2 linked regions of the Astyanax mexicanus genome follow. The main gene of each other region encodes a partner of the protein of the gene in region 2 in a complex. Links are inferred from orthologs where the notes say so. Each region holds a gene or a part of one and is shown on either strand. Other genes may lie near its edges.

Region 1 (7,112 bases), on a different chromosome or scaffold from region 2:
AAAAAACTAAAATACTGTCATTATTTTAGGGCCCTCCCCTACTGATGATGTTCATACTAAGATATTCCTATAAAAGCATTCAGTCCAACACCCACCCCCAACTGACACTGAGAGTGATACTGATACTGAATTACATCAGTGTTGCCAAACTGCTCGTGTTTAATCCTGTTCTATTTTACTCATTTTTTTTACAACAAGCCCTTGTACTTAGGGTTACTGCGCCAAAATATAAGTGTTAAATTATAATAATTGTTAAAGTAAAGTATAATGAATCCATATTGCATTACGGTATCATGATTTGGTACCATGTTACAGTATCGTGATTTAATATTGCATTACAGTAAAGTATGATTATTCGATAATACATTACAATATCGTGAGCTGGTATCATGTTACAGTATCCTGAGCTGGTATTGTGTTAAATTAAAGTATGATGATTTGATATTGCATTACAGTATCATGATCTGGTAAATGTTACAGTAAAGTATGATGATTTGACATTGAGGTACAGTATTGTGATCTGGTATCATCGAATCATCACATTTCACTGTAACGTGATATTGGAACACGATACTCTAACATTATATCAGATCATGGTACTGTAACATGGTACCAGCTCATGATACTGTAATGCAATATCGAATCATCATACTTTACTGTAAAGCTATATTGGATCATGATACTGTAACATGATACCAGATCACGAAACTGTAACATGATGTTGCATAATAACACTAATGCAATATCTTGTTACAGTATCGTGATCTGGTATCATATTACAGTACCATGATCCAATATCGCGTTGCACTAAAGTATGATGATTTGATAGCATTGCACTAAAGTCTGATGATTTTATATTGCGTTAAAGTGATGTATGATGATTTGATAGTGTTGCCCTTAAGTATGATGATTTGACAGTGTTACACTAAAGTCTGATGATTTGATATTGCATTACAGTATCGTGATCTGGTATCATGTTACAGTAAAGTAAGATTATTTGATATTGTGTTACTGTATTGTGATCCGAATTGGTGTTGCAGTATTGTGATCAGACATTGCATTGTAGTACAGTTTTTGTGATCTGAAATAATGTTACTGTAACATGATATTGCATCATAATAGCTTGTTACCGTAAAGTATGATTACAGTATTGTGATGACTACAGTACAGGAACGTGATCTGAAATTGCGATTCAATATTGTGAACAGATACTGTGTTACAGTATTGTGATCCCATATCGTATTACAGTAATGTATGATTACAGTATCGTGAACAGATATCGTGTTACAGTATCGCGATATAGAGCACTGCGTCCGTATCGCTGAGCCCCAGCCTGTAACTACTCCCTCCCCGGGTAGAGTTAGCAGCTAAGTTAGATTAGCCAACTAGCTAACTATCCCTGTACAGAGTCCCACTCAGGATAATCAGACTGATCTGATCTGCTGTAGATCAGACTGCAGCTGTTAATCAGATCAGATCAGATCAGATGATTAAATAATCAGACTGTAAATTAGTTAACCCGCAGCTCCAGCTGTAACTCTGTAACCCCACTAACTGTGTTCCGCTGACCCGCTCCGGCAGCGGCTCTCTCTCCCCGGGCTGCGGGGCGGCCGGCGGTCCGGCTGCGGGAGAAGCCTCACCTTCACGGAGGGGAAGAGCTGGACAGATCCGACGCTTCTCCGAACATTTTAAACTCTTAAACCCGCCTCACTCCGTGCTCTCGGGTCTGCGCTGCTGCTGCTGCTGCTGCCATCTTGTCCTGGAGATCCGGAGCGGAGACGTCGCGGTGTCCTCCTCCTCCTCTTCCCGCATCCTAAACTCCGCTACAGCGCTCTAACCCTGCCAGCAGCTCCTCAGCCGCTCCCCCGCACTGCCCGACGCGCTCTCACTGATACCGGGTACGGCCGCGCGGGCGCTGGAGCCCATCTCTCAGACGGGAGCCTCTGTGCTCTGTCCTCCCCGTTGCGCTGCTTCGCTCTCGGCTGAGGGAGGGGGAGCGCCGCGCTTATCATACAGCCAGACTCAAACAAACCAACCGAGAGACATCGAGCGAGGCCCCGCCGGGCCGTGTCCCAACAGCAGCGCGAGATGCCTAACTAGGGTGCCTAGCTAGGATGTACAGGGTCCTGCCGCCACGTGGCTGTTTAGAGAACAACAAACAGACAGACAGACAGGCATATAACTAAAATAAACAGACAGAGAGACCTACAGATATATAGACAGACAAATATACAAATAGATAGTCAGATATACAGACACATTAACAGAAAGACAGGCAGATAACCAACAGATAAACAAACATAGATAGATTGACGGACAGACAGATTATTAGACAGATAGACAGACAGATAGACAGACAGACAGACAGACTGACTGACAGATATATAGGCAGACAAATATACAGACACATTGATTAACATACAGACAGACAGACAGACAGACAGACAGACAGACAGACAGACAGATAGATAGATAGATAGATAGATAGACATTATAATCTAACATAAGAAGGCAGTGCAATAATGAATATACAGTGTGGAACAGCAGCAGGTATCAGCAGTTAATGAGAATTCTGAATAAACACATACACATATATGTATTTAGTAGTGTGGCTAGTGTCCAGAAGTGCAGATGTACAAATGTAAAGTGTATCTTTGTATTGTTATAGCTTTATATATAGTCTCTGTGTGTCAGGTGTGTGCAGGTGCATCTGGTAGATCACTGATTAGTAGAGTTTAATGGATCGATGATCAGCTCTGTGCTCGTTTAGTTCGGTCTGTTCTTCTGTGCTTCCATCCTCATACCCTGCTGCCCTCTGCTGCTACAGCAGATACATGCAGCAGTTCTGACTTAATCACACTCAGGTACTGTCAGTATACCATACTACTGAGAGTTAACAGCACAGTGCAAAAAAAAGACATATTACTACTGTACTACTATGAAATACGTAAATGTAAAATACAGAATAACAATAATGACTTTTATCTAGATGTGACCTCTCAGGTCATTTGAGAGGTGCACGATGCCACTCTTCAGAGAAGATGAGAAAATAGGAGAAAAACTTGCAATTAACTCCTTACCTCTTCTCATAATTAGATTCACATGTGTATGTAGGTTAAAGGTCAATAAGCTTACCAAACGTGTTTAAATAATTAGTGCTAAATGTATTCAAATAAAATGACAAGAGTGTTGAACGAAAAGAAAATGGTGTTGAAAGAATGAACAACTCACGATTTTCAGATTTGATACATGCAGATCCTTAAATCCAAATCTATTTAATTCAAAACTCAGAAATACAAATACATTCAGTAGATATATTTGTAGAAGGTATGTATCAGAATTAGGAATCTGAATTTTTACATTTAAAAATGTATGGAACTACTTTTTTAAGTTACTTTTAAATGTATTTTTAAGCAGCACATTTGGCCACCTCATAAATTCAGAATATAACCATTTTACTCTATTCACCCACATTTACTAGTGGTGAATAAATAGTGTCTGACTACCTATTGTTTAATTTTAGTCAGTGGAATAGAGTATTTTGTTAGGAAAAGAAGGAAAAGGGAAAGAAACCATACCTGTATGCATCTCCAGCTTTAGCTCACCAACCAATCAGCTCACAGTAGCCGTGATGCTTGCGTCTCTACAGCATAAACATACAGGTAAGTTTATTTTGCTTGTATCTAAATATTTGATTCTAGTTTCTAATATTAAATGAATATCTCGGACAAGTAGCCCCTATTTGGCCACCTCTTACGTTCAGAATATAAAAATTCTGATTAAAATTTATGAATTATGTCACTAAATAAGTGTATTAAAATATAAAAATGCAAGTTGAAATACATGTCATCCCGGGCTCCCTCTAGCAGTTTACAGTAATTTAATGTAATTCAATTTTTACAGTGATTTCTTTGTGTTGAAATTAATCACAATTTTTATATTTATAAATAACAAAATAATTTATTATACTTAAAATTAAATGAATATCCCGGGAAAGTAAGTAAGTAAATAATTTGTAAGTTAGTTAGTGAACTCCCATTCATTTTGGTCTCCTCCAGCGGTGAGCGCACTAAGTGCGCAGGCTCACCACGTTGCGCGTGCCGATACGTTAGTTGCGTACAGTGTGTCGCGTTACCAGGGGTAACGTGCGTAAAGCGCGCAGATTGCAGAGTTCGGTGTTGTCAGTGGCTGAACGGGAGAATTATGTCGTGCCGGGTTTCGGGAGTGGACCGGCTCCGGGTCTGCGCGGTTCTGGAGCGCTGTGCGGACCAGCTGGACATTCTGGGACACATCATGCCGAAGAACCGGAGGAGCCGCCCGGGGGCTGAGGAGGTCTGTAACCGGCTGTTGGAGGAGCAGAGTGGGGCTTAACACAGCTCTGTTCTAGTATAAATATAACTAAACATAACCTATAACCATAATCTATAACTTTAAAACATAATTACTATAACATATAACTATAGCCTATATAACTATAACCTATAAACCTATAACTGTAACCAATAACTGTAACCTATAACTATAACATATAACTATACCCTATAACTGTAAACTATAACCTATAACTATAACCTATAACTGTAACCTTTTACTATAAACTATAACCATGACCTATAACCTTTAACCATAACCAATAACTTTAACCTATAACTATAAACTATAACCTTTAACTATAAACTATAAGCACGACCTATAACTTTTAACCATAACCAATAACTTTAACCTATAACTATAAACTATAACCATGACCTATACCTATGACCTATAACTTTATTCTATAACTTTAACCTTAAACTATAACTATAACATATAAACATACCCTATAACTGTAAGCTATAACCTATAACTGTAACCTATAACTGTAACATTTAACTATAACCTTTAACCATAACCAATAACTTTAACCTATAACTATAACCTATAACCATGACCAATAAACTATAACCTATAACTTTATCCTAAAACTTTATCCTATAACTTTAACCTTAAACTATAACTATAACCTATAACTATAACCTATAACCATGACCTATAAACTATAATCTATAACTATAAACTGTAACCATGACCAATAAACTATAGACTATAACCTATAGACTATAACCTATAACTTTATCCTTAACCTATAACTATAACCTATAACAAATAACTGTACCCTATAACTGTCAACTATAACCTATAACTATAACCTATAACTGTAACCTGTAATTTATAACTATAACCTTTAACTATAAATAAATATAACCTATAACAATAACTGTAGAACATTCTAACTCATCCTGTGCTGTACTGTTGAGCAGGCAGAGGCTGCACATATCAGCGTGATCATTAAACAGCACCAGGCCGCTGAGAGTCACCTGAAGACTGTGCGTAAGAGTCGGGTAAATGATTCTGAACTCTCTGAGGCAGTGGAAGAGCTTCATCTGTCCCAAAACCAGCTCAGACGCACGCTGGAGGAAAGCTCATCCTCCCACAACAATCTGGCCAAAGTGGAGAGAGACAGGTACAGACACTTACATCTGATTCTTCTTCCTCCATAATAATGTAGACATTGTTTATTTGGGTGGTGAATTGGGGTTTGACACATAGTATTGTGCGTAATAATATCACTAAAATGTAAAAAAATAAATAAAAATGTGATAGTTTTAGATGTGATCAGGATACTCCTTTTTTTTTTTTTTTTGCAATTTGTAAAAAATGGAAAATTCACATTGTTCTTATTTTCCATTAAATATGTACTACATACAGATTATATCTGGCCAGTATCTTTTATTTTACTTTAGTCCTAGATATTTAGAGTGCTAATGATTATTTGTATCATGACATGTTGCATCATTGACTTCCATAATGTGCCATATCATATTGTATGCAATAAAAATATGGTGGTTGTGTGTTAATAGTGTGTGTTTCTCTGGTATAAGTGGATTAGACACAGCAGTGCTGCTGGAGTTTTTAAACATTTTAGCATCACTGGTAGAGAGAGAACATTCTATCAACCAAGAACATCCAAAAAAGTGTCTTGTGGGTATCATCCTGGCAGCGTCCTGTGGGCAGCGTCCTGTGGGCAGCATCCTGTAGGCAACATCCTGTGGGCAGCGTATCAGTGTCCTGTGAAGTAAAGGACCAGTGAATGATGAACACAAACTGTGCATTTTATATCTACAAACTGTGTCAGTTAGGGAGGAGTGTCTAATAGAGTGAAGTACAGTGAATACATTGTTTAAGAACTCCAGCAGCACTGCTAAAGTGTCTGATCCACTCGTACCAGCAACACAACAAATACTACTAACACACCAGCAACATGCCAGTGTCACTGCAGTGCTGAGAATAATAACCCACCACCAAAATAATACTGTTCTCACCACTAAATAGCAACAAAAACTAATAAAGTATGCAGAAAAACAGATACAGGACTACAGTCTATACTTATTATAGAACTACAAAGTATTCCTGTTTGCTCAGTGTAGCTGATAAGATGTGTAGAAACATGGAGATGTATATAATAATGAACCTAATAATGACCCACTCTGTTTGCAGGCAGTTTGTAGCCAAGGTGATCTCAGACCTGCTGGCTGAAATTCAAGAGAGTGGCACTTTTCACAGCCTGGTTCAGGCAACGGAGGAAGAGAGGAAGAAGAGCGATGGTGAAGATCACCTGCATGACACTGTCATAAGGTCTGAACATGAACGCTGAACTATCAATACTGTGGTGGACAGTATTTAATATTTGAAGCACGGCGACTCGAAACTGATACATCAGCTCACAGATGCCTTGTGCTGATCGACATCACCCTAGGAGTGATGAGGGGGAAAGAGCGCCATCTACCCACCCAGAGAGAGCAAGGCCAATTGTGCAAAAGTGCTTTCTCAGGGCTCTAGTAGTTGATGGCAAGCTGCATGAACAGGATTCAAACCGGCAATCTCCTCCTGATCATAGTGGCAGCGCTTAGCCCGCTGGACCACTCAGAGCCCCCTCAGTGGTGGACAGTAACAAAGCAAATGTAATTCGGTTAACTTTGTACTTAACCCCAGACCTGAATTATGTTCCAGTTATGGAAAAATATATGAATGCTGTTTGCTGTCTGTAATGCACACAAAATAAGACGCTACTA
Region 2 (7,229 bases):
CATCATAAAATATGCAAATTCAAACTTTTACTTAACATTTCCAAATAGTTTGTGCATTAGGACAAAATTTTATAATAAACATAGGGTTTAATGAATCAAACTTCCTTCTCTATAACAGTTGAAGCGTAATATAGTATACCTCGCTTTGAGTCTCTAGATTGAGTTTCATCATGTTGTACTCCTTTATATTTGCAACTCTTAGTCGATGCAGCAGAACCTCATTCTCCTCCTTCTGTTTAATCCTCTGCAGTAGGTGCTCCAGCTTCTCTCATACATAGAATCAGAGGGTAGACACGTATATTAGCACCAATAGCATTATTGAATCTCTGATGTATGCATTGTGTAGTAAAATAATGGCTGTTGAAGTCTTTTTGCCTTTTACCTCTCTGTCGCTCCGCTCTTTCCTCTGCTGCTCCCACTTTTTCAAGTTGCTTGTGAGCAGAGTCTTTCGTTCATCATCAAATGAATTCTGTAACATCACCAGGCAAAAAGATAAGTGAGTCCAAGAGTCCTGGATAACTACATATTTGGTGTAATGATATAATGTAGGGCATTATCTTCACAAATATAAGTATCAAAAGAACATTTTCTGCATTCTGACCACAAAAATAGCATAGTGTTGTATTTTCCATAACCTTTAAATCTATACTGTGTTGTGTGTTTTAATATAGAAAATATTGAAAGAATTAATATATCAAGTGATTCCTGTAGATTCCTGTGTTACTGTTGGATACCAAGCTACTAGATGTATGAACTATGCTGACTTATGAATATGCTTGTTGCTGAACTCCCAACAGCAGAAAGTATTACCACACCTCGATCAGATCCAGCTCTTGTCTATACAACTTCATCAGAGACGTCATCTGCTCTTGCATTTTCTCTCTCATGAGATCCACGTCTTCTGCCTGCTTTTTCAGCTCTTTCACATAACGGTCATCACTTGATTTTAGTTCCTTCACAAACACAAATGTATTTATGATATCTTTTGAATCTGTGATGTTATACGCCATGGTATAAAAACACAACATTTAGAAACAAAACATAACATTAAAACATGCTCTTGTCACATCTAGTCACATTTTGAGACACAATATTTTAGGTTGAGGATTTATGAATTTTGTGAACTATAACACTCTTTGTAGTTCTTGTAAAGTACCTACTTTGATTAATCACTGCTCTATTAAGTTATATCAGGTGAACTGCTGCTGCTGGTGAATTTTAAATCATAGCATTGAGAAGAAATCTGGAAGCAAACCAGTGTCCTTTTAATAAGCTCACAATTGTTAATGTAACACTGTGTTTTAAAAATGCATAAACACATTGTTGTGCAGAATAATGATTGTAAGAATTTTCTTAGGCACTTAATGGTATATGCCAAATGCATTATATATACGTATTTGCACATTTTAAAACTTAACTTCAGGACAAACTTAAAAAGAAAACAAACAAAAGTCTTTTACAAGAGCATTATTTTACTAATTCCAATGTAGCTAAGATTTTTTTCCTTCTCTTAATATTAGTCTAATTTCTGTCATTTCTGTATTACTCCCATTGTACTGTATAATCCAAAAAATGTTCTCAAAAACATGGTTATATCTATGTGTGTGTGCATTTGTTTTCTTACGTGCTGCAGTTCATTGATGAGTTTATTCTTGTCTTCAGTGATCAGCATGCAGAGCTGCTGCTGGCTTTTCAGAGCATCTCTCAGATCCTGAGGAATTTCCTTTGCTTTGGCCACAGGCCAATTTTGAGTGACCTCCTCGAACTTCTCAAGGCTGGATTTTGCCTCGTTCTCCAACTTTTCATTTCTGTGCAGTATTATTAACATAAGATGTGTTATCATGAGACACGCATTTATATGAGTATGTGGAATCATCTCTGGATGTGTGTTTGAGTGTTTACCTTAATCTACGTGCTTCCGCTAGCTGTGCTCTCCTCTTTGTCTCTCTGGCATCTGCTGCCACCAAGATGTTGGTCACTAACTCTGTGCCATCAGTTTGCAGTTTAAGCATACGCTGCAGAGATTTACAGATATGTAAATAAGCACAAAGGTTCTGTACACTTGATAAGAGATTCACATCTAGACAAGCCAGATAAGTAAAAAAAAAACAAGTGCTGTAAAGTTAAGTCAGAACTCTGCAACTGAACATTCAGCAACAAAAAAGAAGAAGAGAAAAAAACACCTTTTACGGGTCTCTTCCAACCAGTTTAACCATTCAAACACTTTAATTAAATATTTTACGTTTCATACTGCCATTTGGCGTTTACAAAAGGCCAAAAAGATTTAATTTAAATAGGTGCTTTTTGCATAAGGCTGAATATGGCTGTGTACTGTATAATGTTTTCTGCAACATGAAGGACACCTTGTGGTTTTTTGATGATGCTACATCGTAGTGTTCTTAAAAAAACGGAGAGATAACTTTGTGTGGGAGATATCTGCACGAATCAGCTAGGTTAACTGATGTAATAACAGATATAATCAGATAATCAGAAAAAAACCCTCCTGAGGGTTAATAAACCTCTTAGTCATCAGGTTGTTCTGATCTAATTACCTTCTCACTCTGATCCACTTGTTTCTGGCTGGTCCGGGGCTCCTCTGTGTTCTCCTCCTGCTCCTGAGCCTCTTCCCCGAGCTCCAGTCTGTCAGACACAGTTCAGAGAGGATCAGAGAGGAGATCTCTGGAGAAGACAGTTAGTTATGTTAAGGTTATTCAGTTTAAGAAGAGTCAGTGAAGGTCAGGCTGGACTCACCGGGTCCTGGCCTCGGTCCGCGCGGCTATCCGGAGGCGGCGCGCCGCTATCCGCTCCTCCGGACTGTCGGACTCCACAGCGGGGCTCAGCTCGCCCGGGCCCGCCCGTGACATCTCCCCTGTAACTCAGCGGAGCAGAAGAAAAGAGGAAATGAGGGAGAGGACAGGTGAGTTTCACAGAGTTGGGCTGAATTCACTGTTGTTACCCGCGTTGCTATGAAACAGTCAGAGCCCCCCTCTATCAAAACATTACTGAGGCCCGCTAGAGGGAGCCCGCGAGAGAGAACTCAGTGAAGGGGGGGCTGTGGGCTGTGACCAAACTGGCTCCCTACTCCCTTAAAAGTGTCGCACTACATAGGGGTACACAGGAGTGAATTCGGACACTCAGTTTCATTATCAGGCGCCAGCACCGGTAGCATTAACACACACAGGTGGGGGTTGAGCCATGTTTAAAACTCCATAAACTCACTGAACTGAATTAAGTTAAGTGAAGCTCTGAGCTGATCATGGAGTAATCTCTGCTATATTTACACTGTTTACAAACATTAATCCTCATTAATTAACTACATGGAGAGACACCTCAAATTAACAGCGCACACCGGCTCGCAGTGTTGCCAGATTGGGTGGTTTCATGCTAAATGTCGAGTGTAATGTCCGTATATGCACTCTCTAAAAGTGACAGTGTTCAATTTCTGTATGCCACACATTACATCGAGTGTGCTTTGACGGGTGAACAAAACTACCAAGTGTTAAGAGTTTGTAAATTTAACTCAGCAGTGTTATAGATAGATATCTAACCTTGCAGGAACAGAGCCTTTAGTCCTGCTGATGGATATTTGAATAAACAACAGTTTGTTATTGTTTGAGTATTTATTTCTTTTATTTCTTTCACGTTTATTTTTTATGTTCTGTAAATACTTTTCTTTGGTTCCTACGTATCATATAATCAGTGATGGTATAGTTACTTTGAAAAAGTAACCCGATTACTGATTACTCCTTTAAAAAGTAACTTAGTTACTTCATGGATTACTTGATTTTAAAAGTAACTAAGTTACTTTAGAAGTTACTTTATTAGTTACTTTCAGCAGCTGCAGACACCACCTCCTGCCGCCTTAACATAAAAATTATAACCAGTTTTGCCAATACTCCCTTTAATAGAAATGCATTTTTAACAGCAACAATGTATCTCTAGACATTTAAAGTTGAACTATTTCCTGAAAAAATAAGTTTTTTTTTATAAAAATAAAAAGACCATTTATCTTGAATTAACTTAATATATATATATATATATATATATATATATATATATATATATATATATATATATATATTTAATAAAATATGGTCTTTCTTGATTTAACTTTCTTGATTTAACTTAACATAAATACTTGCTTTATAAAAAAATATTAAATAAATGAAGTCTTTCTTGACCTGCAATATTTAACACGGTAAAACTGAACATTGAACCTGTTTCTCTGCAGGGCAGCAAGGAGTGGTTTTATAAAACAAAACCGTATATGATCTAGGCCACATATATGCGGACTGCGGTCCGGGTCTGGACCCAGACGTTGTACAATGCGGACCCAAACCGATAAACTACTGAGAAGGATTTAATTCTGACAGCGTTTATTTAAAGCGGTGGAACGTTTATTGTCTTATTATAGTCTTTTAGAACAACGTTTGTGGAATTACCTTTAATAACAAATAAACCATTATTTTCTGTACTTCTGTTTATTATTAGTTACATCCAAGTAAAGGTCACTTTACAAACTAAACATGTTACTCCACTTTACATTTACAGTTGTTAGAAAACAATATGCGTGCAATGTCTGAATTAAATACATATATGAGAAAAAAAACTGATGAGGTATCACCTAATGTTTAAAATAATATAATAGATTTTAGTTTAGTAGCTAATGAGCTGGATCTGGTGAAAACACACAATTTTAGTCCAGTGATCAGGGATAAGAAACTGCTTCAAACTACCAACATAAAGTATTGTACTGAAGTCTGGCTGTCCACTAAATCCAGTTTTTAGCTAAGTAGTTAAGCTAGCTAAAATAATTGTTCTTCATTAAAATTTACAGTAATCCTGCAATCCTAATCTACAAATCACAATGACTATCACAAGCTCACAGAGGGTATGATCTGTGGGTTTTGATTCGTTTATTTTTAACCATCTATCAGAAATAATCTCAACACAGTTTACATGGTTAGATCCGTTACTTTTCTTTTAGAAAAATAGCTGTATATCCAGATATGTTTTATCGTCAGCCCCGCTGCACCCCTTAAAAAGAAAACATTACAAATCCTCCACAGCAATCCTCCGCGCTTCGCAAAACCAGCGAGCTGATTGGCTGTTTCTCTTAAGAGGAGTGACTTTCTTTCTGAACCGGCGGCTCCGTGATTAGCGCTAAGAGATTTTCCATTTACACAGCATTCTGTCTACTCATTAAAAACACAGCTGAGCTGAGAGAAACGATTCGCTCCTGGCGACGCCATTGTTCTGCGGTATAATGTTTGGGGGAGGACAAATCCACCTGTTTCTGATATTGGGTGGGACATGTCCCCCGTTCCTACGCCTATGGTCTTTATGGTTTACGTGCTTTACAGCGCAGTAAATTTACTGACCAATCACGTGTGCTGTAAAAAACGCTCTCCTTTGCCAATCCTATGCTACGGTGGCCGAGAAAGCCCAGCGCAGTGCAAATTGAAAAGCGCTGCAAAAGCACAAAACACATCCATCAAAATTACAACACAGGCGCAGCAAATAGAAAAACGCGCTGCAAATAGAAAAACGCGCTGCAAAAAGAAAAACGCGCTGCAAATAGAACCACAACACAACGGAAGTGAGTCACAACACAACGGAATTTTCCCGGGGGACCTTAAAAGATGCTGTACCAGCTGTATACAAAGGACAATAAGTGGCAAACAAGCTTCTGAAAAGTAAGTTATGTTTATTAAAAGTTCTGCTTCACAAAACGCCTTGTTTGCCACTTATTGTCCTTTGTACACATAGTGAAGTCCGAGACATTACTGAAGACGCAGCTTAGCTGGTACAGTACCTGGTACAGGTCCCCCGGGAATATTCCCTTGTGTTGTGACTCACTTCCGTTGTGTTGTGGTTCTATTTGCAGCGCGTTTTTCTATTTGCAGCGCGTTTTTCTAGTTGCAGCGCGTTTTTCTAGTTGCAGCGCGTTTTTCTAGTTGCAGCGCGTTTTTCTAGTTGCTGCGCGTTTTTCTAGTTGCTGCGCCTGTGTTGTAATTTTGATGGATGTGTTTTGTGCTTTTGCAGCGCTTTTCCATTTGCACTGCGTTGGGCTTTCTCGGCCACCGTACCAATCAGATCTGTGCAGATATGAGCGCGCGGAGCCACACAGGCGAAGCAGGCGGTGAGAAGTGGGAGAATAAAGCGAGAAAAGATGAGAATACAGATGGTGCGCACCAGAAAAATACATTAAGATACTACCTTTATAAAACATATTAGCAGTAATGTAATAGAGCGGTGTTACTTGGAGGAATTAAAGAGAAACAACCGAGACAAGAGTCCAAAATATTCCACTTTACTCCACCTGATCAGAACTCCTCAGAAAGAAAAAAACTCCCTCGCTCGCAGGCGCGCTCTCTCTACTCCCAAAACAACCCTACCTCAAAACTACGGCAACGCCCAGGGTACAAAAAGCATTGGCAACTTCCCCCATCAGTTTTACCCACAACATAATTAAGTCTGATACAGTAATAATATTAAATAAAATAAAACTACTGTTTTTTTTTAAGCTGATATTTTGGCCAAGTTCAGCAAACATTTCTTCATATATTGTATGATTTGCCATTCACGTAATTATAATGACAGGCAGGCCTAAATCTAATATAAATACAATCAAATTGAATAAATATAGCATTTTTAAACAAAGTTAACATACAGATTCACATTCTCGATAAATTTAGGGTGTTTCCATTAATTTTATGATAGGGTGATAATGTAATTATTGTGACAGGTCTATTTAAAACAATACATATTGTTGAAATATACTAGTATGTGTAATTTGTTTTGTCTTTCAGTTGTTGATGACATAAAACACTGACAGAAGTACTAGGCTTCTTCAGTATACAGTATACAATACTAAATCATAACACAAGTTAAAAATGGCGACGGTCCGGACCTCAGCCTGGCGTAACTGGACCAAACTGAATCCTAATTAAATACCCCTGCTGTAGTAGATCAGTCCAGATCATGACAGTGCACTGATTTATGCTGAATTTTACTTCAGAAACATTTGCTAGATGTAAAGCATTACCCTGCTCATGTCAGACTGTGACTACTGTACAAAAAAACAACAACAATTTCAAAAGATGGAATGGACTTCAGCCATGTGTGTGTGTTTGCGTGTGTAATTTGGAAAATAAAAACCACTGGAGAGTGTCTTCTGTGTATTGCTAATTAAAAATTGCATATTAGGAAGTGCAGTATGGTTTTGC

Evidence for each region. The genes of interacting proteins can lie anywhere in the genome.
Region 1: drc1 (region 2) and iqcg share a complex: the UniProt entries of both Homo sapiens proteins name them as parts of the nexin-dynein regulatory complex. The link is inferred for Astyanax mexicanus from reciprocal best matches to the Homo sapiens genes DRC1 and DRC9.

The regions. Positions count from the first base shown.
Region 1 is NC_064416.1:10,718,177-10,725,288, reverse strand, and holds the start of iqcg (dynein regulatory complex protein 9), read left to right. Parts: upstream 1-4,107; 5' UTR 4,108-4,203; coding exon 4,204-4,332; intron 4,333-5,300; coding exon 5,301-5,503; intron 5,504-6,537; coding exon 6,538-6,675; intron 6,676-7,112. UniProt on the Homo sapiens protein: Component of the nexin-dynein regulatory complex (N-DRC), a key regulator of ciliary/flagellar motility which maintains the alignment and integrity of the distal axoneme and regulates microtubule sliding in motile axonemes.
Region 2 is NC_064408.1:51,791,832-51,799,060, forward strand, and holds the start of drc1 (dynein regulatory complex protein 1), read right to left. Parts: upstream 3,015-7,229; 5' UTR 2,865-3,014; coding exon 2,752-2,864; intron 2,641-2,751; coding exon 2,553-2,640; intron 2,016-2,552; coding exon 1,903-2,015; intron 1,809-1,902; coding exon 1,625-1,808; intron 954-1,624; coding exon 816-953; intron 470-815; coding exon 383-469; intron 263-382; coding exon 140-262; intron 1-139. UniProt on the Homo sapiens protein: Component of the nexin-dynein regulatory complex (N-DRC) a key regulator of ciliary/flagellar motility which maintains the alignment and integrity of the distal axoneme and regulates microtubule sliding in motile axonemes.